Linked DNA regions of Struthio camelus. The protein of the gene in region 1 interacts with the protein of each later gene in a pairwise test. Links are inferred from orthologs where the notes say so. Each region holds a gene or a part of one and is shown in the gene's direction. Other genes may lie near its edges.

Region 1 (6,830 bases):
GCCGTGGTGGGAGGACGAATGGGATCCTGCTGGAGAAGAGGAGCCTTTTTCTTGCTGTGCTGCCTCCCAACTGCCCAGGGATGGAGAGCTGGGGGCGGTCCTGGCTCCCTGCAGGCTGCCGCTGGCGGAGGTGCTCCTGGTGCAGGGCAGATGCTTTTCTGTGTCCTAGACAGATGTTTTTGCAAATTTTGGTCACTTGATCTTGGTGCTGAGTGCTGAGAGCGTGGAGTGGGCCATGGCTTGGGTGAGGGCCCAGGGGCAGTAACCTGTAGCCCTGGGGCTCTGGGCTTGGAGCATTTTATTAACGTGCTGCTAAACTTGTTGGGCCAAAATTCTGGGCCATCGTCGTGGACCCCACGAGAGGCCGCATGGTGGGACTGCGGAGACCTCCTCCTGTCTCGGATAGGGATTTCAGGAGTGCTGTGCTCGGTCCTGACTGGGATGGGGTCAGCAAGAGGGAGGTTGTAGAGGGATGCTGAGGGATACTGTGGATGGCCCTTGGCCTGGGGTGCCTGGAGCTGGATGGTCTCTGCTGGGAGCCTTGTGAAGCCCTGACAAAGGTGGGAGCTGCCACCCCCATGGTGGTGGCGCCTGAGCAGTGAGGATGGAAATGTGGCAGGTTGAAGGCAGGGTTTGCTTCCTCTTCTGCTGGCCAGCAGGTGGGATGTGCAGCTTGCCAGCTCTGCCTGCTCGACTACTGCCCTTTGCCCCAGGACGCCCTGGTCTACCCTGTCCTGTCTCTCCACTGTGGGCATCACCAGCAGTAAAACCCCTGGGGGACCCCCCCCGGGCTTGGCTGGAGAGGGGTGCCAGCATTCTGGGCCAGCGGCTTTGGGCAGCCCTGGAGCCAGGCGTGCGCTGTGGTCTCCCCTCCTCTTGGCCCTGCTTTCACCCAGGGCTTTGAATGTGGCAGCAGTGGTCCAGAGACTTTTCAAGTCCATCCCCAGGGACCCTCTTTCAAAGCGTTTAGTGGTGAACACTGTGACCTGGCTGGTCCTTGCCGTGGCAGGAAGAGTCCACGGTCGGATCTTGGTCCAATCCTTTTGTTTTCCTTTATAGTTTTATTAAAGCAGAAATCTGAGTGCTGTTCCTATGCTGCTGTCCTTTGCTGCCTGTGATCACGTCACCCTTTGGCTGGGGGGACCCTGGTCAGGGAGGCGATGTCCTTGAGGGGCCCTTGCCGGGCTGGGCATGTCTGCCCCACAGGGAGTTTCCAGGGCTCAGGCTCAACTGAAATCTGCCTGTGGGCCTCAACAGCACATTTCTGCCCCCGTTCAAATGGGGACTGGTCTGCGTTTCCTGGGTTTGGAGCCTAGGGACCAGGTTGGTGCCATAAACTCCTGGGTGGAGGAGGACAAACAGAGGGACAGGGTTATGGGGATGTCTTGACAAGAGATGCTACTGACTGGGACGCATGCCAGAACATCCCACCCTAAAGATAAGCAGCGAAAGGAGAGAGGCCATCGATGGGGCTGGGACCTCCCTTGGGTCTGTTCTGTCCAAGGTCCCTCACCAGCCTCTTCCACCCTCCTTGGAGGCAGCACGATGGGCTCTGGCGGGGAGGCCTGGCCATGCCTGTCCCCTGGACTTTGTCCAGGAGAAGTCCCTGCTTTCTCCCCTCCACCCCCTCTCTCACCCAGGGCAGCCAAGGGGGCAGCGGCTGGCCCGGATGCCCGGGGAGGTTAGCGCAGGCAGGGAGGAGGGTGCTGGCTGGGGCTTGCCCACAGCTCTCCCCGTGGTCACAGCCCATCACCGCCGTGTGTTTAGCCCGGCACGTGAGTTATTATCTGCCTCCGCACGGGGCATAGTTTTAACCTGAGCCATAATGAGGGGCTGGGGCGGGCAGGCGGTACACACCCAGCTGCTGTTTTCTGGGGTGCACCAGCTCCCTGGGGCTGTTAAAGCACCCTTGGGTGCTGTTGGCGCAGGCATCGGGAGCCTGAGGAGGGAGTTTGGCTAGGCCCCCAGGACAGGCCAGGGGTGCAAGAAGCAATGGAGGAGGGTCTCGGTTGTGGAGCAGATCCTGGCCAAATGGAGGTAAGGTGGGGGGCAGCGGGCTGTTGGGGAGGGAGCTGGGGCAGAGCTTGGCGGTGTTATGGTGTCTCCTGTGCATAAGGCGCTGTACAAGCACCACAGCCAGGCCCTGGGCAGGTCTGGTGGCATCACTGCCCTGGTGGCATTTCTCCCCAGTGCCAGGGTGATTCCAGTGAGGATTTGTGTGGAGGCAGGCAGGTGCCAGGCTGGGGTTCGGGGCATCCACGCTCAGCCCAGGTGCACCCATCCAGCTCGCTGGCCTCAGTTTCCCCTTGATCCAGCCAAAGGACGATGCTGTTGGGGGGGGGGGGGGGGCTGCAAGGTTAAAGGACTAGGAGTGGGGCAGACCTCACAGGACTATGTTCTGCGCAGGGTGCATCCTTGCACCCTCCGAGCTGGGGCAGCAGGGCACCCTCAGGACCACCGTCTCCCTCCTTATTTACCCCTCAGGGCTGGGAAGGGGGCGGTGGAGCCGAGCCCTGGGGGCAGGGGGGTCCCAAGCAATGGGACCACTGGCCTTGGGAGGTCCCAGCCCTCCTCCCTCCCAGATCCGTCAGGGACCCCCTGGGTGGGCGATGTGTCCCCGGGCGCCTGCCGGTTGCACCTGCTCAAGGGGTGCCCGCCGCTGAATCCAGCCCCGCGGCTTTCCAAACTGCTGCTGTACTGATTTTCTTTCTCCGTTGTCTCCCAGTTTGGGAGCTCTCAAAGAGCGGGTGGGAATAGCTGCAAAATCCCACCCACGGTGGGGGGCAAAACAGAGACACGGGGCAGAGCCCGGCCACCGTTCCCCTGGACAAGGTGCTGGGGGCACCCCAAACACCTCTGGGGGACGACTCCTTCAGGGCGGCTTTGGGGGGTTTCCGGGGGTTTCGGAGGGGCTCGCCCAGGCTCTGGGGAGCCTCTGGGGAGCCTGGCTGGCCGAACGCGGGGTCGGCCCCGGGGGGGGAGCTGCCGGCGTGAGTCCCCTCTCGGGGCTGGGGCCGGGCTGAGCGGGGCGCCCCAGCCGTGGGGCACCAACAGAGGGCCACAGCCCCCGGCACTGCTCCCCACCCCACTGACCCCCACCCCGCAGCCCCCATGCAGGGCCCCCCACTGCATGGCACCCCAGCCCCGTAGGCCCCATACAGCACCCCCGCCCCACCGTGTGGCACCCCCCCCCCCCATAGCCCTCATATAGCACCCCTGCCCCATAGCCCCATGCAGAGCCCCCCAATGCACAGCACCCCCGCCCCATAACCCCCACACAGCACCCCCATCCCCATGGCCCCATGCATGACCCCTCACTGCACAGCACCCCCGCCCCATAGCCCCATGCAGGGCCCCCCAATGCACCCCCGTCCCATAACCCCCACACAGCACCCCCGCCCCATAGCCCCATGCAGGGCCCCCCAATGCACCCCCGCCCCATAGCCCCATGCAGAGCCCCCCAATGCACCCCCGCCCCATAACCCCCACACAGCACCCCCGCCCCATAGCCCCATGCAGAGCCCCCCAATGCACCCCCGCCCCATAACCCTGTGCAGGGCCCCCCACTGCACGGCCCGCCCCCAGCCCCATACAGCACCCCCGCCCCGCCGCGCGGCACCCCGAGCCCCACGGCCCCCCCCCCCCCGGCCCCCGCCGCGCAGGGCGCTCCCCGGCCCGGCCCGGCGCTGCTGCCGGCGGCGTCGCTGCCCCGCGCCCCGTCCGTAGGGCGCCCCCCTGCCGGGCTCCCGCGCCGAGCCGGGCCGGGCCGGGCCGGGCCGGGCCAGGGGGGCCGGGGGCGGCGGGCGGGGCCTGGCGCGGGCCGGGCCGGGCCGGCGCGGAGCGGAGCGGCGGCGCGGGGCGAGCGTGAGTGCGGGCTGGGCCGGGCCGGGGGGCGCCGCGGAGCGGGGCGGGGGCCGGGGGGGCTCTGGGGGGCCCCGCGGGGGGCGGCGGGGGTGGCAGAGGCCTAGGGGTCCTGGGGGGGTACTTTGGGGCTGTTGTGGGGCAGTTGGGGGGAGCTATGGGGCAGCAGGGGCCCAGGTGCTCTGTGGGGCACTTGGGGGGGGCTGTGGGGCAGCCGGGGCCTAGGGGTCCTGGGGGGGCCTCTTGGGGGTGTTATGGGGCACTTTAGGGGCCCTGTAGGGCAGCAGAGGCCCAGGAACTCTGAGGGACACTTTGGGGGTCCTGTGGGGCGCTTTGGGGGGGCTGTGGGGCAGCAAGGGCTTAGGGGTCCTGGGGGGGCCTCTTGGGGGTGTTATGGGACAGCAGAGACCCCAGTGCTCTATGGGGCACTTTGGGGCTGTTGTGGGGCACTTTAGGGGCCCTGTGGGGCAGCAGAGGCCCAGGTGCTCTATGGGGCACTTTGGGGGTTTTGTGGGGCACCTTGGGGGGGGCATGGGGCAGCAGAGGCCTGGAGGTCCTGTGGGAGCACTTTGGGGAGGTGTTGCGGGATGGCAGAGGCCTAGATGCTCTATGGGGCTCTTTGGGGCTGTTGTGGGGACACTTTGCAGGTCCTGTGGGGCAACTGGGGGGAACTATGGGGTGGCAGAGGCCCAGGAGCTCTGTGGGGCACTCTGGGGGTGTTATAGAGCAGCAGAGACCCCAGTGCTCTATGGGGCACTTTGGGGGGGTGTCATGTGGGGCTCACTGGGGGGTGCGGGGCACTGAGGGGCAGGCAGGCAGCAGTGTGGGGCAGCTGTGAGTTGCTGTGGGTCGAGGGGACGGAGCTGTGGGGCAGGCGCGGGGGGGGGGGTGTGGGGTCGGTTGGGGGGCACTGCGAGGGGCGTGTGGGGTCTGAGCCCCCTCAGAAAGGTGCGGGGGCCCCGAAATCTCTGGTGGCCCGAGGTGGGAATCCCGCGGCAAGGCCGGGAGCGCGGCGGGGATGAGCTTCCCCGTGCCTGGCGTTTGGGAGCCGGAGGATCCTGCTTCCTTGTGCTCCCACCTGAGTTCGCCGGCAGTGACGCCGGCCCAGTTACTAACTGGTTTTACTGGGGAGCTCAGAGCTGCCTGCCGGCCCGCTCGGCGCCGCCGGGGCGTTTCGCAGGCCGCGCTCGCCGCCGGCAGGCCTGGCGAGTCCCCAGCTGAAAGTTTCCGTCCTCCAGAGGCCCCGGCCTGCCGGACCCTCCCTGGAGGCGGATCGGAGCTTGCGGGAGGGTGAAGAAGGATCCCTTCTCCGCAGCCGCAGCTCCCGGGATTCACGGCGGGGGATGCGCGGTGGGGTGGCACCCCCAGGGCTCCCTGTCCCAGGCTGGGAGCTGATCTGCAGCCGGAGAGAAAAGGAGCCGTCGGGCTCTAGTGGTGGCCTTGTCCCCTTGGGGGCTGGCAGGGTGCTGGGATCCAGCTGCAGGACAGGGCAGGGGGTTATGTTTAGCAAGGAGGGGTCCGGCAAAGAGTGGGAGGTGAGGCGGTGTGAGGTGCCCACGGGCTGGCTCCCCATCGCCGTCCCCTTGCCGTGTCCCCTACTGAGTGCAGGGAAAGGAGCCGGAGGGGCTGGTGAGGCAGCGCAGGGGCTGTGCAGGAGTTTCCCAAGCGGGATGTCGCCCACAGATCACCATGTTTGATAATCCCATTCTTGGGGGGTGGGGGGGTGCCAGGACCAGCATACTAGACCCTGGCATCTTTGGCCATCCGCTGTGCCGCGCTGGCGCTGCCCGTCCCAGACCTGCCGGCCGGAGAGCTTTGGCAGGGCTGGAAATGGTGCTGGGGGGCCTGGCAGCTCCTGAGCAGCAAGGAGCCCCGGCTGCAGGGCAGGGCCGGGGTCAGCCCTTCGCCTGGCTCTGCTGGCGGGGACGCTGGGCCCGGGATGACCGAGCCCAGCTGGAGGCCCTGGGCACAGCGGCCTACGCACGCCCCGCTGTTAGCCCACGGCTGAGCGCGCAGGGCTGTGCCAGTCAGCTGGCATGGCAAGCTGGTTTCTGTCCTCTGCCATCCAGGAGAAGGCGGGCAGGTGCTGATGCATGGCCCCAGTGCCCTCCCTGCTTTCCCAGCCCTGTGGCGGGGGTACGGTACCACCGGTTTGGGTGGAGATGCTGGGTAGGGTGCAGATGGGCAGGGCTCTGCCTGGCACCTCTGCAGGGCTTGGTAGCAAGCATGTCAATTTGGGGGAGTGGGTGCAGGACTGGTCCTTGGAAGCTGCAGGGGGTGCAGTGAGCCCCCCCATCTCCCTTCGGGCCCTGATGTGGGGTGATTTGGGAGTGGGTGCTTTTTGCACCCTGACCCCCTCCTCTTTCTTTTTCCTGCTGCAGGGGGTGACTGAGCTGTGTTCGCGGAGCAGGGACCTGAGCGGGCCAGACGAATGGGCAGCGACTGGCGAGGTGAGCGGAAGGCCGTCACCCGCACCCCCGTGGCGGCAGCGCTGGGGCATCGGGCTGGGTACAGTGGAAAGTCGCCGTGCCCGGGGAAGGCACGTGCCCGTGGTGGTGGAGGGGAGGGGAGGGTGCTGGCAGCCCGGCCCCTCCTGCTCTGCCCTCCCCGCCTGCTTGCCCCCTCGGGCGCTGGCAGGCGGATTGATTTCAGGTGACAGCTCAGCAGGCGAGACCATGCGGGCAGCAACCCCCCTTCCTCGTGCCCTGTGCCAGCTGCAGCCATGTGCGAGATGCGATGAGGCAGCGGGGGACGGATCCGGCCCGTCGGCTGGCTCATGTCACGCGGGCGTATGGTGTGGGCCGGGGAGGGGGGGCACGCACCGAACGCGTGCGCCCAGGGCATGGGCCGCAGGGCAGCAACAGGGGCACTCGCAGAGCCCCCAGACTGGAGAGGGGCAGGCAGCGTGCTGTGGGATTGGGAAAGAGCTTGGCAACTGCTTTATGCCCTGCTCGCTCGCGCGCTCTCAC
Region 2 (7,126 bases), on another chromosome or scaffold:
CAAATGGCCGCACTGAGCGTTCCTGTGCTTTATGACAGCACCTGGCCTTATGCTTGTCTCTTCTCATGCCTGTATCTCAGGCAGTTTTAGTTACAGAACCATTGACCAGCAAAGAGTGCAGGAAGATAGAGCTGCCAGAGCCACATGTGCATCCATCAGTCTATTGGCTTCTATTTGGAAATTTAAGCCTATAATCAGCCTTATTGAGAAGGGCTCCATTCATATGCCTCATTAGTCATCCTGCTATTATCCTTTGTAAGTACCAGCAGGCTTAGGATGCTGCACATTTCCCCTGCTTAAAAAAAAAGTAAAAAAAAAAAAATTCTCCACAGTTACAAGGATTGGAATTCATGGGTACTGATGACATTACCTGAGGACTGACTGATATCTTTGTTATAGGAGGAAAGGAGGCATATTGTAGTTTAGAACAGGCATGGAGAGTTAATTGTCAAGTCGGCAAAACTGGAAATAGGCTCAGAAAAGAAAACACAAGGGAAAATATGTGTGCAAGTTTCCCAAATACAAGCCCTTCATGTCATAGCTGGGACAATCCCTGTGGACCGTCTTATAGAAGAGATACATTGTGTGATCACTAGAAAACCATGTTTCGTTTGTCTGCCTTGAATTTTATGAAGAATTTATGCAAGATGATGTCTAGCAATTCCTGATCTAAGACTAACCATAATGAAACACAAGTGCTTTTGTGCTTTGGTTTATTTCTACTGTCTGTGCTTTCTACTATGATATAAGTTAATCATTTAGGTGAGACGTTAGAGCCCACAGTTCTGCTTAGATCAATCTGACTATAAATCTCTCCATTCCCATGGTAGATATGTTTTGCTTTTTTATATGTAGTGACAAATTACCGACAAGTTAAAGAGAACTAAATGGATGCAAGATGCAGAACACAGTACTCCAGTAACGCTGTCACCTTCATGATGGAACAGCTCATCCTGGAGGTCATCACTAAGCACATGGAGGACAAGAAGGTGATCAGGAGTAGTCAGCATGGATTGACGAAAGGGAAATCATGCTTGACCCATCTGATAGCCTTCTCTGATGGCATGACTGGCTGGGGAGATGAGGGCAGAGCAGTGGATGTTGTCTCCCTGGACTTCAGCAAGGCTTTGGACACTGTCTCCCGTCACATCCTCGTAGGTAAGCTGAGGAAGTGTGGGTTAGATGAGTGGACGGTGAGGTGGATTGAGAACTGGCTGGATGGCCGAGCTCAGAGGGTTGTGGTCAGTGGCGCAGAGTCAAGTTGGAGGCCTGTAGCTAGCAGTGTCCCCCGGGGGTCAGTGCTGGGTCCAGTCTTGTTCAACTTATTCATCAGTGACCTGGAGGAAGGGACAGAGTGCACCCTCAGCGAGTTTGCTGAGGATACTAAACTGGGGGGAGTGGCTGACCCACCAGAAGGCTGTGCTGCCATTGAGAGGGACCTGGACAGGCTGGAGAGCTGGGCGGAGAGGAACCTCCTGAAGCTGCACAAAGGCAAGCGCAGGCTCCTGCGCCTGGGGAGGAATAACCCCATGCCCCAGTACAGGTTGGGGGCTGACCTGCTGGCAAGCAGCTCTGCCGAGAAGGACCTGGGAGTGCTGGTGGACAACAAGTTGATCGTGAGGCAGCAGTGTGGCCTTGTGGCCAAGAAGGCCAATGGTCTCCTGGGGAGCACGAGGCAGAGTGTTGCCAGGAGGTGGAGGGAGGTGATCCCGCCCCTCTCCTCAGCCCTGGGGAGGCCTCCCCTGGAGTGCTGTGTCCAATTCTGGGCTCCCCAGCTCAAGAGAGACATGGCACTACTGGAGAGAGTGCAGCGGAGGGCTACAAAGAGGATGAGGGGACTGGAGCATCTCTCCTATGAGGCCAGGCTGAGGGAGCTGGGCCTGTTTAGCCCGGGGAAGTGAAGACTGAGGGGAGGATCTCATCAAGGTGTACAAGTATGTGAAGGGAGGGTGTCAAGAGGATGGGGCCAGTCTCTTCTCCGTGGTGCCCAGTGACAGGACAAGAGGCCACGGGCAGAAACTGAAGCACAGGCAGTTCCATCTGAACCTGAGGAAAAACTTCTTGACTGTGAGGGTGACAGAGCCCTGGCACAGGTTGCCCAGAGAGGTGGTGGAGTCTCCTTCCCTGGGGATATTCAAAACCTGCCTGGACGCGATCCTGTGCAATGTGCTCTAGAGGACCCTGCTTGAGCAGGGAGGTTGGACTAGATGATCTCCAGAGGTCCCTTCCAGCCTTGGCCGTTCTGTGATTCTGTGATTTCCAGCACATTGCAAAAACGAGCAACGCTGAAAGTGAAGCTGAGTATGCAGGCAGCAAAAGAGTGAAGTGTTCCTCCTAGAAACTGCTGGCCATGCCATAAAGGTAACACTAAACTCTCCCTGACAGAGGTTTTGCTGGGTTTTGCCATGCTGTACAGAGCTGTTGCATATGTGCTGCGCAGAGGATGAGCTGTTTTGTGTTCTTTGAGGTGACCACATGGCAACAGACTCAGAGCCTGCTGTGCTAAGGACCGGTGAGTGGGGACGCAGGATCTGCGGCCAGCTCAGCTACTGCCAAGCAGTAAGTTTTGTCTGAGTACTCTGTTAGTAGATATGAATAATTTCCATGTATGTTAATATGAGCATATACTTTGGAAAAGCAATATGCTCGTACTTGGACATGGTCTCTATTGGGCTCTCATCTCTTTAGGCTTGAGAATAGGCTCAGAAGGTGCCTGAAAATCCCCAAGAAAGACACAGGAATGCAAGAAAGGCAAAGGGGAAACAAGACGAGCATATTTCCAATGCAGAATTTGTGAAAGGTCTATGTTTTCACAGGAAAACAAGTCGGTTTACAGGTTTTAATCAAAGCATAAAAATGTAGAGGTATGTGAAATAAGTGCTAGACACCAAACAGTACTAGACATTCTTTTCTGCATATCACTGTTCTCTTTAATAAAGATATATGGTTAATTAAAGGCTTACTTGTCTGTAACTGAAAAGAATGGGGTCATGAAAAAAAAAATTCTTATCCCTGTTCAGAAATGGATCAAGTTGTTCAAACTAAAGTGCAACATAAAAATTACAGTCACACGTTGATTTTAGGGGACAACAGACTAACCAGGAGATTGTAAATATAAAGGAAAATTTTCTGAGCTTGTTTTTGAGCTCATCATAGATAACGCAGAATTTAGATAATTGAGGGCTGACTATAGAGTTTCCATATACTTTTATATAACTTGTGGCATCCTTACCAAGCAGTTCATTTTTCATCTGTTAATCGAGAAGTACCTTCTCTATGTTGTTAGGAGTGTCCCCCAGTGGCACAGTATTACAGTTTTTTTCCTCCTGGCAGAATTTCTTGTGCCAATGACATTTGAGCTTGTTAAAATTTAAGGAGCAGGCCCTTGTTTTGCGCCACGTACACTATATATTCATCTTTCCTAATAAACTATGGACTGCATAAGCACTATGCTACTCTGACTTTGTGCTTGTTAATGCTGATACATCTATGCCACTGTCAAGCTGGAGCAACACAGAATTTGTGGTCTGCTGTTTTTTTTAAACCTTTGCTAGTAAAGGGTTACAGCAGAAGCGAGAGCTGATTATGAGATTCAGAAAACTGCATGCAGTGACTTGGAGGCTAAGAGAAGCAGGAAAAATAGGATCTTATGTATTAGAACTTCTTTTTCAGAAAAAAATAGAATAATCCTCCTGCTTTTAAGATATCTTCAAAATAACATTATGATATTTTATTCCAAAGAAACATTTATCCACCAGATAGTCAGTTGCTTTTTGCAGAGAGACAACATAACACTTTTGCAGCATTTTATGCATTAATAAAGCTTATGCCATTTTTTAAACATCATCAATTTTAATAGCACTTGACTGAAAAACTGAGTGATGATGAAACAGCACATATAATTTTTTTTTTGCACTTTCCTGTCTTCATCTTGTGAGAACCAAACATGTTTATTTTACTGGCAACATTAGGGGAATCATATGGTTTCAAGGAAAGCTTTTGAGATTGTTTGTAAGTTTTTGCTCCTCTGCGTGTCCGCTTCCTCCCAGCTGGGGGCTGGCTGTTGTATGGAAAGGCCAAACACGTCACGGAAAAGCCCTGTCTCTGATCAGATGGGCTTAATATAAACCAGGTTTGCTGAGAGCGAATTAAAGAGGCAGCCCATAAGTAGAAGAGGATTTGCTTTGGCAGACCAGTTCAGTGTATCACACTCCACTGAGAGAGAAGGGCAGGGAGAGCAAAGGACCTGACTGCGGGGAAGAGCCCGTCAAAAGTAAGGCAGTGTTGGCTGAAATGCATTGGTCCAAATGCAGTATTTTACTATAAGTAAATGACAGACCAAATAGCTAATGCTAAATGCAGTTTGTGGTATGAAAAATAATTTGAAGTGGGAATGCTATGTGCAGTAGTGAGTTATAAGACTTTCTCTTGTTTGGATTTGTTTAATGAAGGATGATAATTTGTTAAGGGAAAAAATATAAAATATTTATGATTTGGACTATTTATTGATTGACTGTTAACTGAAGATAGTGATTTAGTGATTGTTCATTGTTTGACTGGATTAGAGGTGGCTTTTCTCATGCATTGTTTCAGAGGGGAAACTACAAGAAAAAAATGGATTTTAAAATTAAAGTACTGGAAAAACTTCACTTTGTTTGTGAAGCAGTCTTCGTTTGGTGCGAGGTTTCTAGTTACGTATGCTTTTTCCTGGCAAAGTTACTATGACTAGACTATGCATATGATCTAATCTTGCCACAAAGTACTGTGCGTCACAGTGAAAATATCACATAAGTTGGAATAAGTTTAGTTAGAGTGTGCTCTTTCTGCCTATTTGTTCTATGACCTGCTGCACATTTATTCTAAGAAGTTTTCATAAAGTTTTATGTGGATAGGAAAAACAATTTGTATATGTCTTTTTGATGTGTTGCTGCAATTATTTTCATTCACTAGTTCTTATTCAAAATATTCAAAATTTGTTATTGAAAGTGGTCTGATGCGTTGTGCAGACAGATATGCTGTTTATTAATATAGAGAAGAGAGCTAAGAAACATCAGACATATGCTAAAATGTAAAATATCTAAATAACTGTCACTTTGGAAACTGGAATATATCAAAGGATCTTTCCTAAAAATGGTAGCTGTTAGCCTGTGAAAATGACATCACTGCACTCTGCTTCCAACCAAGGCAAAATAGAGTTTGCAAAGTAAAATGTAATTAAGAGCCATGCATAGATAAGGTGAGCTAACTAGCTGTGTAAGATGAACAAACGTTCTTAGATAATGTGAATGAGCAGCTTTTGTGGTAAATTAATTTATTGACTTACTATCTGTAACTTTATGAGCTTTTACTCTCAGTGATACCTTCTTTAGAGGTCAGATTCAGTATCTCCTCAGAAAAGCCACTGGACTTGGTTGCATCCTCACTTTTACCAGCCAAAATGCTACTCTGTGCGATAGCTATTTTTTATTTGTCCTGCTATAGCTGAGATCAAAATCTATTCAAAATACATTATAACAAGACTTGCTTGCATCATTTGTTTCCAGCATGAGGGCTGTCTAGCACGTTTTACTTTCCCAAAAGATTAAACTTTTAACTGAGGCAATGGGAGCGATATTGCAAGCAAAATAGGATTTATTTTGTGACTGTGTTTTGGTGTGCACGGCTGACATTGCTGGAGGAACCAGCCTGTCTATGCCAGGAGAATGTAGGGAATGGGGCGCAGCCGTGGGGTGCGCCCGTGCTCACCCTTTACACCCACTGGAGTGGAACTGGAGGTGACTGCGGCTGGTCCCTCTGCCCACAGTTGCGCATGAAGGGTGGGGACTGGCACCTACAGGGTCCCATCAGCTGCCTCACTGAGGATGCAGCTGTATGCAGGCTCCCAGGCATGACAGCGCTGGCAGATGTTGCCCCTTTGCTCTCCTCCTGGGACATAGCAATGCTGCAGTATCTCCAGGGCTGCGCTGCACCTAGTACAGCAGTGAGCCTGCAACAGCTAAGCAAAGCACAAAGCTGGGATTTAGCATGTGACAGTGGTATTGTCCCTAGGATGAAAGCTGCAGCTCTGACTCACTAACTAGAAATTTCTTTGTGTACCAGCAGCAACAAAGAAGTGCAGAAAGCCTCTTTTTTTGTTGTTGTTGTATAGTCCAGCTCTTCTGTAGGGTTCTACATACTGTCCTGAGGTTGGGAAGAGGGTGTTAACGCATTTCTAATGCTTTGTGGGTGATGTTTGTCGTTTCCACGTTTCTCACCAGGGGTAAAAAATGACCCTCAACAATGTTACCATGCGTCGCACCAACAACAGTGGCTTGCAGCAGCAGCAGCGATGGAGCATCCCTGCTGATGGAAAGCACCCGCTGGTCCAGAAGGACTCCAATGAATACAATGCACAGAAACGATACACCATCAGTCCTGACGATTACTACAGAAGGAGCTGGTCCTCGGAGTCGTCTGACTCCGTCATCTCCTCTGAATCCAGCAGCAATTGCTACCGGGTGGTGCTGATCGGGGAACACGGTGTAGGCAAGTCGTCGCTGGCCAACATCTTTGCAGGGGTACATGACAGCATTGACAGCGACTGTGAGGTGCTAGGAGGTAGGTCATGATGGCCTGGGGCGCTTGTTTACTTGAGGGCAGCCCTGTCAGTAGCAATGGCATTAAGGCACAGAAAATTAGCAAGACCATTTAACCTGAAACTGAGGTAACCAACACTTGGGTCTGATCATCAAAATTGATTCCAACACATCTATCTCTCTTAAGAAAACAAGCAAAAAAAATTAGATACGAGGACTAAGGTCCTCACTAATGAGGATCTAAAGCCTCTGCAAGGCAGCAATGTAGCTTCTCATGCTATTTCATTTTAAAATACCTGTTGGAAGCTGCTATGTTCCTGCCTGTGCCTGTGTTATAGGGAAAGGCTGGTTCAGCTCTCACACATATGTCCAAAATATGTCACCACTGGCTCCACAGGGTCAATTCCTACTTTCTGTGCGGGACAGAAAAAAAAAAAAAAAGAAGATGCCCTTGTTTTATTAGAATGTAATGCTTAAAAATAATATATAATGAAAAATACCCCCTCCCCATCCAGTTCTTTGATCACCTCCAAAATATTTGCCGTTAGAAG
Region 3 (7,379 bases), on another chromosome or scaffold:
GCTAATGCCAAGCTGTAAAGACAGCGTGTGTTGCAGCTAGTGTAAGCACGTTATCCTTTGCATCTTCTCTATTAATTTCCCTGTAGCCTCAAAACCAAGCTAAGCACTTGGGCATTAGTGGATTTGAAGCAGGAAGACCACAGGGCCCCAAAAGGAGATGCGAGAGCAGGCTGGAGGGAGCATACCCACAAGCACAGCTCACTTCTTGCAAGCAGCCTCCTCCTTACCTCGAGACGCATCCGAGGCTGCCTTGACGTATTCCTCCTGTCGAGTCAGGAAGGAAGGACGATTCGTTAGCAGGGCAGTCGATTAGCAGGATATATCCACGTTACCGATGCACACCGTGACCTCTCTATTCCCACTTACTAATCAGACGCCACGAGAAACGAAAAGTAACACGCTTTTTCAGGAACACGTAAGCGATCTGAAATCCCATGGCAGGTCTTCAGGGAGCTGAGGTGGTTTTGCTACAGATTCTAATAACTTTTCTTTTTGCGCTAAGATCCATGCCTGCTTCTCTTATGCTGGAAAAGGCAAGCGGGAGAGAAGCCTCTGCACCCAAACCATGGAGTCTCCTCTGCCCCCAGCAGCATCTGAGGGGGACACATCCTGCGCAGCGTGAGCTTTGCTCCTGCTGAGACGCGACTTGGAAAAGCACCTATTTTCTCTTGCTATTCACACAGTGCCGCCACCGCCTGGAAATCTCCAGGGAGCGCCTGCACGAGGCCGGCTGGCCGTGGGGATGCCAGGCTCGCACAGCAAAGGGAGGAACAGATTTGAGCCCATGCTCCGTAAACCATTGCCTGTGCTCCAGCAACCCCCGCGACCTCCGGCTGCTGGTCCCCATCTCTCAGGGTTTTATTAACAGCACAGCTGATCGCTGCCGAGCATCCTCGGCTGCCGCCCTGCTCCTGCATCCCGGCTCTCGCTCCCCTCCTGCCCCAGGCCAGCACCACCCGGGCAAGCCGGGAGCCCCTCTCTCACCTTTTTCAGGAAACACGCCGCCCTGTTCCTGTACAGCACCGCCTGCAGCGCCTTGTCCTTGTTGAGCTTTATGGCCTGAGTGTAGCTTTGAATGGCTTTCTCATAATCGCTGGCCTGAAAATATTTATTGCCCTCCTCTTTCAGCTGGATGGGATCCTCCATCTGGAGAGGAGAGGGGGGGAAAAAAGATGCAAATTTTAGCCTGCCTGGGAATTTAAAAAAATATATATATCAGTTTGTGCCCCTTCCGTTTGCAGCCTCCCGTACGACAGGGTCGCTGGCGTACTCCCTCGGGTGAGTCTGGCCATCAAGCCAAGCTGCGCTCTGATCCCGACATTTAACTAACACGCACTTCAATAAAAGCAGGTTACTGGACTGAAGCCTTCAAAAACACCAAGGCCCAAATTGCTCCTCCAGGCTGTGGCTTCCCAAAAGTTTTTCCTGGCGTTGCAGATCCTCCAGGGTCAATTAATAAAAGAAAAAAGTTTCCGAAGTCAGCAGGCGCCGCGGACGGTCTGGACAGCTGGGAAAGAGCCCATCTCCCTCACCTCCCGCTCCAAGTTTGGGCAGGACCCGGCAGCTCCTGGGGCCCGTCAGCGTCGCCTGTCACCGCAGCCTGTCCCCACCTCTCCCCCTGCTATATAGCACCCCAGGGGGGGCTGCACGCCAGGGCACCCGCGACCGGCCCGGCTCCGGGGGCACCTGCCCGCCCCAGCGAAGCGTCTTTCCGCAGCCAGCAGGAAACCCGTCCCCGCCGCCGAACCAAACCTCAGCGCTGCCGTACCTGCGGAGCAGCGCCGGGCAGGGGGTGCAGGAAGAGGAGGGTCCTGCCAAAAAAAAAAAAAAAAAAAAAAAAAAAAAACAGCCAGGAGAGTTGACCCCCAGCCCAGTGCTCAGACCCTTTTCTATTTAAGGAAGCGGGAGACAGCTGAGCTGCCAGAGCAAATGGCCCCAGGCCGGCAGCTGCAGCAGCGCCCAGCACCTTCCAGAAGGCGCTGGGAAAGAAAGTTGATTCGCACGCAGTGCTGCCTCCTCCTCTCCGTTTCGCAGCCCTCTGGGCGCAGTCCAGCACAAAGGTCTGGCCCAGAGCGCATTGGCCCATTGCTGCAACGAGAGCCTCAGGTCTCAGTTTGAGCGACGCAGGCCAGGAGAGAGAACTGCTGAACTCCTCCAGATCAGAGCTGAGCCTTTCAAACCTACATATTTTTCAGGCCACGGAGCATCGGGAATTTTGCTTTGCAGCCTGATCTCCTCCAACACGCAGGCCACGAGCTCCTAAGTGCGACCGCCAGCGTCCCAGCTACAGAACGGATGGGGGAACTGGCAACAGGACTGGGGAAACTATTGACCGAGGGAAGCAGGGGCAGGTTGGTAACTGCTCTGTTGCTCCAATGGAGCAGAGCTGAGCTATGCCAGGGGATGTGCTCCGTTCTAGGGCCCTGCCAAGAAAAAAATTAGGTTACGTTTAGTGCTGGTGTTCTGTGTCACAGCTTATGGGTCTTACGCAGAAAGAATTGGCACAAGACTGCTTTGTCCAGCAGTCCTCGAGCTACATCAGCTCACGTCTAGCTCCTTCAACGTCTACCAACTAGCGCCACTCTGTCCCTGTTAGCTGTACCGGAGGGGGTCGCAACGAGGTTTGAAGGTCTCTGCATCACGTCCCCTTGCGGAGAAGTTTCAGGCCCTCACCTTCTGAGAGCAGAGCAGCGCAGCGATGGATCCACGGGGCCTGCAGAGACACCACCTCTTGGAGGGCGGAAGAAGCCACTTCCGCCACGCATCGAGTTGGCACCACAGCTTTTCCAGGGCCTGCTTTGACTAACACGTTGGAAGCACCTCCTCGTATTGCTTTAGGTGTGGGAGAAGGGTCAGCTTTCTTCATTCCAGTAATTCCTGTGGCATATAGCAAGTTATCCAGGATATCTTAAGTTATCCCAGATAAAGGCTTCATTTTCACCAGCAGCAATACTGGAGGTACTTCAAACACATTAAGTTACAAAATAAAGTTTTGTCTGATGCTACCTATGCTCGAGACAGAGCGGCCGCGGTCTGCAGCTCCCCAGGTTGTGCCGTTGCCGAAGCGGACGACAGCAGTTGCACAGCACCGACGTGCAGCCACAAACCCTGGGAGCCCTCTGGAGGCCTCACCCGGGAAAGCAAAAAAGCATTTTTTCCTGGGGAAATTCATCGCCGGGGGACAAGGAGGGCAGCAGCCAGCTGTGTGGAGGAGCTGTTGCTGCTCAGGCAGCAGCCTGGAGCGACCCTGCCAGGCCCATCGGCGCGCGAGCGGCTCCTGCCACGTTCCGGCCTCGGATCCCACCTCACCTCGCGGCTTCGAGCTGTGTTCTGATAGGAGGTTTTGCAGAAGAAAAGGCAGGACATTCAGTGTTTAAGTTGCCCTCCCAAAACCACCAAAATGAACTTCAGCATCTCTAGAGAAGCAGTTGGGCCACGGGAGTAGCTGTGCACCGTACCAGGCACGCCGGTATCACACTTCGGTTCAATGGGGCAGTTAACTGAAGACCAGCTCCTTGGTGCAGAGCTGCATTTGATCCTTCCTGGAGTTACCCCCAAAGCCCTAATGCAAGTTTAGGGTAGCTGAACAGGACACAGAGCACAGACCCTTCTCTGCAAGAGCCCCTGGAGGTTAAGAGCCAAAGTTTCACCCCTGTGTGCATACCTGTTCTTCCAGCAAGCACTGGGACACCACAGCAGCTCTGCTCCTGCGAGAGGCCTTCAGCCTGCCCCACCACACTCACAGCTCTTGGCACAGCACCTGACAGAGGTCCTCCCTGCCTGCTCGGGCAGACAGGAGCTCAGATCACAGCCAGAGGCAGCTCCAGAAGTGAGCTTTACTTTTAAGAGAGGAATAAGCTCTGCCCAGAAGCACAAAGCACTCTACAAGGCAAGACTACAGTAGCCTCACTTCTGCCTCCTACCTTTTAAACCAAACTCCCTTTTAAAACTAACTTTTAAACATGCTTGCCCCAATCTCTAATACACACTCCTCCAACATTACCCCCACCAGTAGCATTTACCCCCCTCCCCCAAAAACACCCAGCTCTTGTGGGGGTGGGTGGTGTAGGGCCTGGGAGCCAGGGCGTCGCTGTCACCTGTGCTAGCAGCCCTTTAGGGCCAGCTGGAGCCTCCCCTGCTGGGGCTGGTGGGGTCAGGGAGGTGGAGGTGGAGGTATTTCTGCTTTCCTTCGCTGCTCGGGTCACCCTGCTTTTCAAGCAGGAGGGGTTTTCAAGTCGGGCTCCGCGTTTTGAAGCGGGCTGGCGCCCGGCTGAGCGCAGCCGCTAGGCGGGGGTGTGAGCGGGCCGCTGCCGCGCGGCTCCGCGGGAAGCAGGAAGGGCCGCGGGGGCGGAGCGGGGCCGGAGCGGGGGCGGCCGCGGGGGCGGGGCGGAGCGGGGCCGGCCGGGGCCATGGCGCTGCTGCGGGCCGGGCTCTGCCCCGGCCTCGGCGCGGAGACGATCCGGCTCCTCGGGGCGGGCGGCGTCCGGACGGGTGAGCGGCCGCGCCGGGCGCGGCTCTTAAAAGGCGTTTGAGGGTTTTGCGTGTGTTTTTTCCCTCGTAGCTGCCAGCGCTCTGGGCCAGGCCCCGCTGCCGGTGGGCTCCAGGTGGGCTCTTTGCTGGCTCTGATAAAGGATGAAGCGCTTTATCCTTGTTAAAGGGAGCCTTGGGTCGAGAGCCTGTGAGTGCCCAAGCCACGGATGCTATAATCCTCCTCTTCCCCGTGAGAACTGCCTTTTACTATTTTTTAATGCCTAATGTACATGTTTCAATTAAGAAAGAAATCTTAAAGTGGCTCCTGGGGCAGAAATGGGCTAGTAGTTCTTCCCTAATTTCTGTGACTTTTGCCTTTCTCTGCATGTCCTGAGCTGGCACTTTGAGTCAGTCGTTAGCCCCTTGAGACAGGCTCTGCTGCACTAGCAGAACTGCCCTGTCTTGGCTGACTCTAGCTATCAAATGGTCCTGGGCAGCTCTTGAGCACAACTAGGGAGTATTTTTTATTAGCCTCTCCCTAATTCATTTTGCAATGAACTTAATGGATGGGGCTCATGTGATGCCAGTGCCACCTCAGAGGAAAAACCCCATTGTCCCACTTCGCGGGGCATCCTGCTCACCTGGTCAGAGCATCGGCCGAGGCACAGGAATGTTTTAGCTGTCAGTGCCTAAAGGTAGATTTTGTCCAAGCATGTGGTCATCCTGCAGTCTCAGGGTGATATTTCCTGCAGGAGCTGATCAGCTTTTTGGTGTTGATGGTCTGTTATGGTTTGGCCTCCAACTTCTTGTTCTTCATGTTATTTGCAGTGGTGGACTTTGTATCGTCAGACCTGGAGGACATTGCTCAGAAGTGTTCCCTGTCTTACAAGGTAAAGGGAGACTTGTAAGTCCTGTTACGTTAACCTGGGAGCTCAGAGCTGTTCAACTCAGTGCTTGGTCAGACTTGTCCACAGGGACCTTCTGATTCTCCTGTGTCATTGGTTTCTCTGTTGTGCTTGGCTCTGTGTTAGTCAGCCTTGTGCTGAGCGCTCAGTATTTTACTACTGTGCTTAAGAGCCCAAGCTGTGAATGGGGACTGTGCTATCAGCACCCTATATCGCTGGGTGGGTTGCTGGAGCGTGTGGGACCCACAGTTGCCCAGGGCAATGGAGACCGTTTGTTTTGTGTTGTCCCTGCACTGCCCTAGCCCAAGACTTCCTCAACTGCCTTTTCAGATGTCTCTCTGCCCACCAGGCTCTGGTTGCTGTGAGGCGCGTGCTCCTGGCCCAGTTCTCGGCCTTCCCTGCCAATGGAGCAGACCTCTATGAGGAGCTCAAGAGCTCCACGGCCATCTTGTCCACTGGGATTGCCAGGTGGGTACATTGCCCAGGGTGCAAACAGGTCTGGCTGTGGGAAACTCTCTGTGGAAAGACAGTCCAGCCTGGGCTTTGGGTTTCAGCCAGGTGGTGCTTCAAGCACTGTGCAGGGTGAGATGGGACGAGGGTGGAACGGACCTGGGGTGCTATGGCCAGCGCTCCTTCGTGGAGCTGCTGCAGCTCTCCTGCCTATGGTCTCAGCCTCTCCTCCACCTTGAAGCCCTCTCTGCGGTGCTAGGATGAGAACGAAGACATTTATTCTTCATATCCTGCCCAAACCATGGCTGCAAACTCAAGTCAGTCTGTGCCCCTTGAGGGAATGGCATTGCTGTTGTCCTCCTGAGAGCCTGTACCTCTCCTGGAAAGTGATTAGCATGTCTGACTTCTAGGCTAGATGACATGCTCCCTTCACCCTTTCCTTAGCGCTCTAGAGAGGAGGATTATAGACTTGTGAGGAGGGTTGAGTGATGATGGTCCAAATTATCTAGATCAGGCACAGAAATAAGTTGTGCTCTTCTTCTGTGACTTATTTCTCCCTTTCTCCAGTTGCCTCACCGAGTGGTTGCAGTGACTGTGCAGAGAAATCTGGGGTGTTCACAACTTGAGAGCTCTCAGACCACAGTTCTTCTCCTCTTCAGGACTGTCCTCTTATACATGACACTGCAGGCCTTCTGCTGCTCTCCAGAATGTGGAGAGACCCAGGGGAAGGGGGGAAGGAGCAGAGTCTGGGCCACTCATCTGCAGTTGGAAAGGGACCTCTGTAGGGATGAATAACTGGGGATTGCTGCTTCCCAATGCCCTTGCCCTTCTGCCTGAAGGTGTGTAAATAGTTCCACCCTTGTGTTCAACCCTTAGTTTGGACAAGCTGCTGGACTCTGGGCTGTACACAGGGGAAGTGACAGAGCTCATGGGAGCGCCTGGCAGTGGGAAGACACAGGTGAGCAGGACAGAGGAGGGCAGTGGACAGGTATGATGAAAATGATGCTACAGTGCATGAGGAAGGTGACTTCTCCCTGGACCCATGCTGCAATCTATATTTAAGGACACAACCTGGACTCACCCCATCCTACCTTTGGTTAATTGGATGGTTTCTAATGAGAACACAAGGAGGAGGGGGGAAAAAAGCTATTGTCAGCTTTTGGCAAAACCCATCTGTTCCCACCTTCTCCCTATGCTGGTCTCCTACATTGCAGGCTTTCAGGCACAGGAAGGAGGGACCTGATCCAAACCTGGGGTGTGAGGCTGGTGTGACCTTTTGAACAGAGGAAGTCTTTATTCTTTCCAGCTTGGTAGCTCCTGTGGTGAAGGACCCTGCTGCTGCAGGTGGCTGCCTTGGCTGTGAGGCCGTCGGAGCAATTTTGCCACTGGCAATCGTTGGCCCTTTCAGCTTGCATGGGGTGCAGATAAGAGGAAAGCACTGGGAAAACAGGCTGTGGGCAGGCACTGGCTTTGTCTCCTCCATCAGCCTTCAGCCTTTCCCAGAGCACAGGGCAGCCCTGGCAGGAGGCTTGAAACCAGACTTCTGCTGGTTCT
Region 4 (7,144 bases), on another chromosome or scaffold:
GTCTTGATGCAATTTCAGGAAGAAGAAGCGAGCAATTGTTATGATGGTGACAGTGGTGTTTCTCTTTGCAGTCTGCTGGGCCCCTTTCCATGTGATTCATATGATGATAGAATACAGTGAGTATCTGCCATGTGTCATGCAATAAAGTCTTTTTTAGGTTTTTTTGCAATAATGGAACCACAGATTGTGAAATGCTAGTGCTGCTGCAGCATTCAGCTATAATGTACCTTCTGCTAGCAAAGGTTAACGTTGTGCTTATAAATCCTGGATCACTGTCTTGTAATAGAGATACATAATCAACAGCAGATGAATTACTCTGAAGTCTATGAGTGACAGACAGATCTACAGTGCTCACAGAAAACGTAAGTACATTTCAAAAACCTCTTATTAGCTGTAGTGTTTGAGAGCGTAATATATCTGAGAAATCCTTGTATCAGCCCCGTCTTCTCTTCCCTGCTGTAGCACTAAAGATCTGTGTCTTGCTATAAACTGTGCTAGACTTTGTGGAGGGGGTGGGGAGAGGGCACTGTGTCTCCCTCCTCCTGTGTAGGTGCAGTGATAGCAGGTGGGACTGTGCAGTTTGCCGTGTGTAGGAACACTGAATTATTCAGTACCAGTTGTGCTCTACTTGCCAAACGCAACAGTTAATCTCTTTTCTCTCTGTTGCGGAAAAGGGCATAGCAGATAAGTCAGTAGTGCTACAGCCAGTCAGCTGAAGCAAGTGGTGTTTGTGCCTGGGCAGAGCCAGAAATGCTTAAGCTGTAACTTTCAAAAATTATCTGGATTGCCCCCTATTGAGATTGCCCTGAACTGTTCTGTGTAACACTTCACTCTCTTTCCACTGTTAATTTCAGGGATTGTTTCCACTGCTACAAGGCCTTGTTTAACTTGCCATATAAACCCTTGTGCAGTGTCTTCCAAAGCTGCTTAGCCAAGTATTTGAATTCAAGAAATTCAGAGAATTCTGTGATATCAAGTAATTAAAATGTGAGCTATCACCAGGAAGATGCATTTTTACTCTATGAACTCGTCTGTATCAGCACAAAGAAAGAAGCTGCATATGGTCAGTGAAAAGACGGGGATTAGTGTTATCGTGGTAGAGTACTTGAAAATTTCTCATGAATGTGAGACGCAGAGTCAGAGCCTACACTCAGCAGACTGGAAGCTTTCTGTCACTTGGCCATTGGACAAGTTGTTTATTTGTTCATTTGTTTTTTTGCTCACGAGTTGTGTCCTTCAGACTACACTGTTCTTCCCTACATATATACAAAAGCAGGGCTATGTGGTAGGTCTTGATCTTTGCTGGCTAGTGAAATCCTATTGCTAAAATTACCAAGAAAGCACCTTGCTGGAGGTTACTAGACAAAAGCTTCTAATGCCAGATTGGGTGTAAATGGGCTTAGTAATGGGTATTTATACCATTCTATACCTACAGCATATTTCCTTTTTCATTTCCAGGTGACTTTGAAAAGGAGTATGATGATGTGACAGTCAAAATGATCTTTGCTATTGTCCAAATTATAGGATTTTTCAATTCTATTTGCAACCCTATTGTGTATGCTTTTATGAATGAAAACTTCAAGAAAAATTTTTTGTCTGCCATCTGCTTCTGCGTTGTCAAAGAAAACACATCACCAGCCAGGCAACTCGGGAACTTGGGGATTACTATGAGGCAGCAAAAGGCAAGTGCTTCTCTAAGAGATCCCACTGACTCAGATGAGGCCAGGAGGGAGGCATTCAGCGACGGCAACATAGAAGTCAAGTTCTGTGATCAGCCAGCTTCAAAAAGGAATTTGAAAAGGCACCTTACCTTATTCAGCTCTGACCTTACTGTGCATTCTGCGTTAAGAAGTGGACAGTAACATCACAAAGATTTTTAGAATGGAAAAAGCACTCCTTGTATTTGATAACTTTAAACAAACCATTTTAAATATTTTTTTCTACATTGTGTGCAAGGAGGGGAAAAATATTCTGTGGATTATGATAATGTCTGAATAATGGTTGAGAAACTAATTACTTTATAGATGAGGAATAAAAGTTTGGAAAACAGTATTACTGCATGATTTCCAGAAAAATATTTTTCTTCCTGAGGTAACATAGGACTTTTTTGCCCCCTGCTCTAGGTCAACCAAACAACTGCCGCTTGCTTTGTTTACTTTTTGTAAACCATGTTGAACCATACACAGTTGAAAGTAGATACACAGTTGCCAGAAGATATAAACTATGGAAAATATGCATGCTTCCTTTGGACAGCTTGGGAATCTCACCTGGGTCTGACATTGTGAGATCTACTATCTGCACGCCGAGGACAGAGAAACTTCAGATCTGAGTTTAAGAAAAATACAAACTGAGATGCAGTTCTATTTTGCAAAGTATATGAAGGAGCTAGCCAGAATTTGACTTTGAAGAGATGAAGATGTTTACATTGCATGTTTGCTCAGATTTTCTAAGCAGAAAGCATATTTGAAATTAATGTGTGCATAATTAATGTGCTATTTTTACAGGTTAATTCTCTGGGTACAAATACAAATGCAAGTGTACTGCCCTGTAAACAGCATTGTTCCTGCTGAAAAACGTAGAAGTTGAGAGTGCTATACAAATCGAGTGTCTGCAGATGCTAGAGGTGTGTTCTGTAGAGTAAGAAATGAATTTTACCTGAGGTTGTGTTTTAGATACATGGCTTATGGGTTAAATTAGTATTGTTGCCTTGTTCTGGAGGAATATAAGGACTAGCCCCAGAGCCTGATGGACTCGACAGACAACTTTCAATTTAGGACATGGTGTTTTGATCGGGCCCTTTGCTGCTGTCAAGCACAGATTTTTTTTTTCTTTTTTTTTTCCCCTCTGTTGTCTCTCCCTCACCTTCGAAGTAGATAAATCATTGTCTAAAAACAGGGCCAGTGTTCTATTATTTTTAGGCTTTCCAGCAAATTACAAGGCTGAAATCATATGAATTCTGAAAATTGTCAGCGAGCCAAACTGAAACTGTCAAAGATCCTTACAAATATAGGCCTGAGGAAAAAATGTGATCTAGAATGTTATATTGTGATCTGATCGTACAAATGGGGCTCTGAAATAATTTGAGATTCCAGCTGAGATTAGGCTGGATCCTTTAAGAACACGTTGTGATCGTTGGTGCTCTTTTCTGTCATCCCTTATTTCACCTCAGGGACCTTGATGCTCCCTTGGCAGTAACTTTTGAGATGCTTTCACATTGTCACTTCCAAAACTGTAAATGAAAATCTAGTTTGTTATGCTTGCATAAATTAGAAGTAATCTGGTCCTTCTGTAATGTTCATAAATTTCCATTGCATTAGGTATTCTGATGCTGATTTGTGATATATTCTTTATTTTAAATATATATTATTATTTATACTTTATCTCATATACTCTGACACAATGACAGGTTAAGATTCCTGACTTGTCTTGACAGCCAGAAATTGAGAGCACTTTAGTATATGTATTAGATAAAAACACCAATTTCAAAGAGGTATGTTTGGGTAAAATGTCATGAGTGAAATCAGGTTCTGCCTCAGACACTCAGGCAAACGTGCCTCTTTGCATTACCTTGATACTGCTGGTAAGCAACAGCAACAGTATTTGCCTGTGATTATAACTGTGGCTTCCTTCAGGGTCCAGCTCTTCGTTTCAGTCTTTCATCTTTCCCGAAAGAGGTCATCTAGTAAAATTTCTGCCATGTAGATTAGAGACTCAAACTGGCTTATTATCATCCTTTTCCTCAGTTGATGCAAAGTTTTCAGGCTCCTGATGAGAAGTATGTGTTTTAACAGATTCTGTAACTGAAAATCACTTTATTATGTTAAGCTCTTTATTTTTTTATTTGTACTGGTGATTTCAGTGACGGGTTTGAACAGCAAAGGTGACAGTTACTTTGTAAAACTTATGGGTGTTCTATGTCTTTGGGTTTTTTGTTTGTTTCTTCTGTTGTCTCATAAAATGTAACGTCAACAAGTGATTATTGTAGTATTTTTCATTAAAACTCCATTTTGATATTTATGGTGCTGTTTTAGACTGGAAGTGCATTCTATAAACGTCAATATTTCAGTATATTTTTATTTTAAAGATCAGCTTATTTGCACCTTTTTTTTTTTTTTTAGTGATTAAGTTTCAGTTCTGTTTCAGGTACCAGCTTCTACTGTCATCCTTACAGATGTGCTGTAGAGGACTTTTTACAGAAGAAGGTAATAGAGATCAAAAGTTCCAATATCTTGGTAGGAGAGAATTGGTAAGTGTTTCAGCAAAGGCAGAGTGATTAGATTTAGATTAAATATAAGCCAAACTACTTCAGACAATTGTCTTACATCTTAATAAGCTATTATCTTCAGTACATTTTTGACACAGTAGTTCTCTCAAAGCCAGAAAATCTTGTGAGAAATTCCAGCTGCAAGGAATAGAAGAACCTTTATTGACTTAAGCAGAATTTAGATTTTTGCCTATATGTGCATTTGTGTAGGTTTGTGTTTGGGGGAGTGTGTGTTTTATCAAAGCCTCAGCTTTGATTTAACTAACAAAACAACCTGTTGTATTGAATCAGGCCAATTTTCTGTCCAGACTGGTAGTCTGTCTCTTGCAGTGTCTCATGTGTTTCCAAGTGTTTGGCTGTTACTGAGTACTTCAAATCAGTGAAAGCTAACACTGCTATGGAAGGAACAGCCCTGCTCTCCTCCCCAGCTTGCCTGCTTCCTCCTCTCTTACACTGGTAGAATTGCATGATGAAGCAGATCAGAAGACTTTCTGGGTAAAGGCTAACCTGTGAACAGAAAAGATTAATTTTAACCAATCTATTTTCCCTAAGCTGAGAGTGTTTAATAAAACTATTGTGTTTTTTGAAAAAATGCTTCCCCCAAAATGTTTTTTTCTGATCTGCATTAGCTGCAGATCACTTAAATCATGAAGCAGTCTAAAGGACTGTAATTTCTTTGTGGTCCAAATTGAAGAGAAACTTTTCATATTCTCCGCTGTATAAGGTGCCTTACGGCTTATCAGCTTTAAAGCTACAATGAGATAATACCAGGAACTGGCATGTAAATGAAGATACAAGTCTGAAAGAACACATTCAGCTGAACAGAGACTCTAGAAATATGAGTGGATTGGGAAAAAGCATAGGACATGTGGTATTGCTATGGCTGATTCAGTTGCATTCAGACTGTATTGACATCATGAAGAACTGTGGGTAGAAGGAAATTAACCCTTCCAGTGACTGTGTCTGTAACAGGGTAACTGTTTAAAAAATTCTCTCCAAGAGAGGGAGGGTAAATATAATGTGAAATTACTTCCCAGCAGAAGCAACTCTTTTGCTCTTAACTTTTCTTTTTTGGGGGGAGTGGGAGGGAACAACGCAACATTAATTTCAGTGGCCATCAGATGGCTTTATTTGTGGGTATGTTTTTAACCTATAGAATTATGTTCTGGGCTGTAATACTTTGACAAATAGACAGGGAACTATGCTTTTATTTAAGACGCTTGATTCTATTATGGGCTAACACAGTGCTGTGCAGGCATAAAAAGTTTGAATCTGAATATAACGAACACCTGAATAGAGAGTTTGTAGTCCCTCGTAGCATTAGCAAGTTCTTCGTAAGACATTTGTGCTACTGAAAGAGGGGGGAACGTCTAGGTACGGATTAGATGTCCTTTTAAAGTTTCACGGAAGAGGAACTGAACGTGGTGCTTGCTTGTGTATTGTTTGGATGTGTAGTTAGCACTTGTGTGGAATAACAAACAAATTAAGTGCATAGTACATGCGCAGGAGAATGTGAGATCTATTTTAGAGGGGCTGATTAAATGTAGATGAAGGAGAGCCATAGCTTGAATTCTTTTTATTCGGGTTGCTAGATATCTGGACTCCACCATGCGTTGTTCGGTCACTAGTAGGCAAAGTTGTGTTTGTCAGCTATCAGGTAATTCTAACAGAGGAATCTGAGGACTGGATCGGGTGTTGAGCTGAGTTGTTTTTGGCTGGGCAAAGCTGTGTGAGTCTCATCCCTGAAGCAGACTCTGATATGCTAGGTTTCTGGCATGGAGCAAGAAACACTGTCTGGGATACTCGGTGAGCCAGCACTACTTAGAGACAGTGACAACTGCAGATCCTGGAAGAAGCAGCCAACAGCTGTTACCTCAAGTACAGCTTGTGGAGAATAGAAGGAAGGACAATATACTGTTTATACTTGTAGCTAGTCTTATTAGTATCTTTTTAAAATTGTTTACCTGATGCTTTACAAGCCGGTGGAGAGGTGTATTCCTTTTCTGGAAGACTTTGCAGTATGTGGACCTAATTCTACAAAGATATGCATGGAACCTTTTTCATACCTGCTAGCTTCTTTGGAACTGTACACCCATACAATGGTTCATCTCCAGGGCAATAGTTCAGGTAAAGGAAATCATAAAAAGCTGATGGGGAGGATTTATGTAACGCTATTTGGGAAGGAGGATCAAGTTGGCAGTAAGGCAGGGATTACTTATTTTTCAGCAGGATACCTCATGTAGTTAAGATGATGAAGGCAAAGAAAACCAAGTCCTCCAGTTTATTATTCCTTCTGGGTTTGCTCAAAGTTTAGTCAGATAAGTTTTGAATAGAGAAGGCTGTTTAATATTAAACTGTTGTATTGAATTCTGGTATTGGAGCTGCATTTAAAAATGGAGTAGGGGGCAGTAGGGTTTGAGGCATATGGGAGAAGAGCAAGAAGGAGAGGGCCTTTTAAGGGTTTCAGTTTCCTAGGGACCCACCCTGATGATGTGTAGAATCATGAGTTAGTTCTTAGTTGACTTCATCAAGATAATATTGTGGCTTTCTTCTGGTTGCTTTCTTTTGGGCAGAGCCACAGTTTTACGTTTAATACTTAAGTATAAAAAGAAATATTATCAGGTTTTGAATAACAGCTGATTCAATGCTTTGAACTTCATGAGTATCAGCTTCTTTGTTTAACAACAACAACAACAACCCCCCCCCCACAGTTTAGTACTTACCTTCCATTAAAGAGGGTGTTGCATCCTGAGGGCAGAGTCTGCACACTTGGAGATATGGATTATATAAGTCATGGCTGTACATCTTAACATATACTTTAATTAAGACAAAACAAAACATCCCAATTAGTATATTGGCTGTTAGGTTCTATTTGTGCTA

Evidence for each region.
Region 2: the proteins of LZTS2 (region 1) and GEM interact in binary tests that used the Homo sapiens proteins (3 or more experiments, as listed by UniProt). The two-hybrid records come from large-scale screens. The link is inferred for Struthio camelus from reciprocal best matches to the Homo sapiens genes LZTS2 and GEM.
Region 3: the proteins of LZTS2 (region 1) and RAD51D interact in binary tests that used the Homo sapiens proteins (3 or more experiments, as listed by UniProt). The two-hybrid records come from large-scale screens. The link is inferred for Struthio camelus from reciprocal best matches to the Homo sapiens genes LZTS2 and RAD51D.
Region 4: the proteins of LZTS2 (region 1) and TNIP3 interact in binary tests that used the Homo sapiens proteins (3 or more experiments, as listed by UniProt). The two-hybrid records come from large-scale screens. The link is inferred for Struthio camelus from reciprocal best matches to the Homo sapiens genes LZTS2 and TNIP3.

What each region holds. Positions count from the first base shown.
Region 1 is NC_090948.1:15,894,952-15,901,781, forward strand, and holds the start of LZTS2 (leucine zipper putative tumor suppressor 2), read left to right. Parts: upstream 1-3,808; 5' UTR 3,809-3,864; intron 3,865-6,242; 5' UTR 6,243-6,311; intron 6,312-6,830. UniProt on the Homo sapiens protein: Negative regulator of katanin-mediated microtubule severing and release from the centrosome. Required for central spindle formation and the completion of cytokinesis.
Region 2 is NC_090943.1:149,190,817-149,197,942, forward strand, and holds the start of GEM (GTP-binding protein GEM), read left to right. Parts: upstream 1-4,125; 5' UTR 4,126-4,273; intron 4,274-6,257; 5' UTR 6,258-6,266; coding exon 6,267-6,597; intron 6,598-7,126. UniProt on the Homo sapiens protein: Could be a regulatory protein, possibly participating in receptor-mediated signal transduction at the plasma membrane. Has guanine nucleotide-binding activity but undetectable intrinsic GTPase activity.
Region 3 is NC_090957.1:14,879,283-14,886,661, forward strand, and holds the start of RAD51D (DNA repair protein RAD51 homolog 4), read left to right. Parts: upstream 1-4,372; 5' UTR 4,373-4,409; coding exon 4,410-4,491; intron 4,492-5,298; coding exon 5,299-5,360; intron 5,361-5,724; coding exon 5,725-5,843; intron 5,844-6,701; coding exon 6,702-6,783; intron 6,784-7,379. Other genes in the region: UNC45B (protein unc-45 homolog B), read right to left, coding at 228-264, 985-1,146, 1,769-1,811, 2,674-2,765. UniProt on the Homo sapiens protein: Involved in the homologous recombination repair (HRR) pathway of double-stranded DNA breaks arising during DNA replication or induced by DNA-damaging agents. Bind to single-stranded DNA (ssDNA) and has DNA-dependent ATPase activity.
Region 4 is NC_090945.1:19,789,705-19,796,848, forward strand, and holds the start of TNIP3 (TNFAIP3-interacting protein 3), read left to right. Parts: upstream 1-4,143; 5' UTR 4,144-4,246; intron 4,247-7,144. Other genes in the region: QRFPR (pyroglutamylated RF-amide peptide receptor), read left to right, coding at 19-116, 1,459-1,862. UniProt on the Homo sapiens protein: Binds to zinc finger protein TNFAIP3 and inhibits NF-kappa-B activation induced by tumor necrosis factor, Toll-like receptor 4 (TLR4), interleukin-1 and 12-O-tetradecanoylphorbol-13-acetate.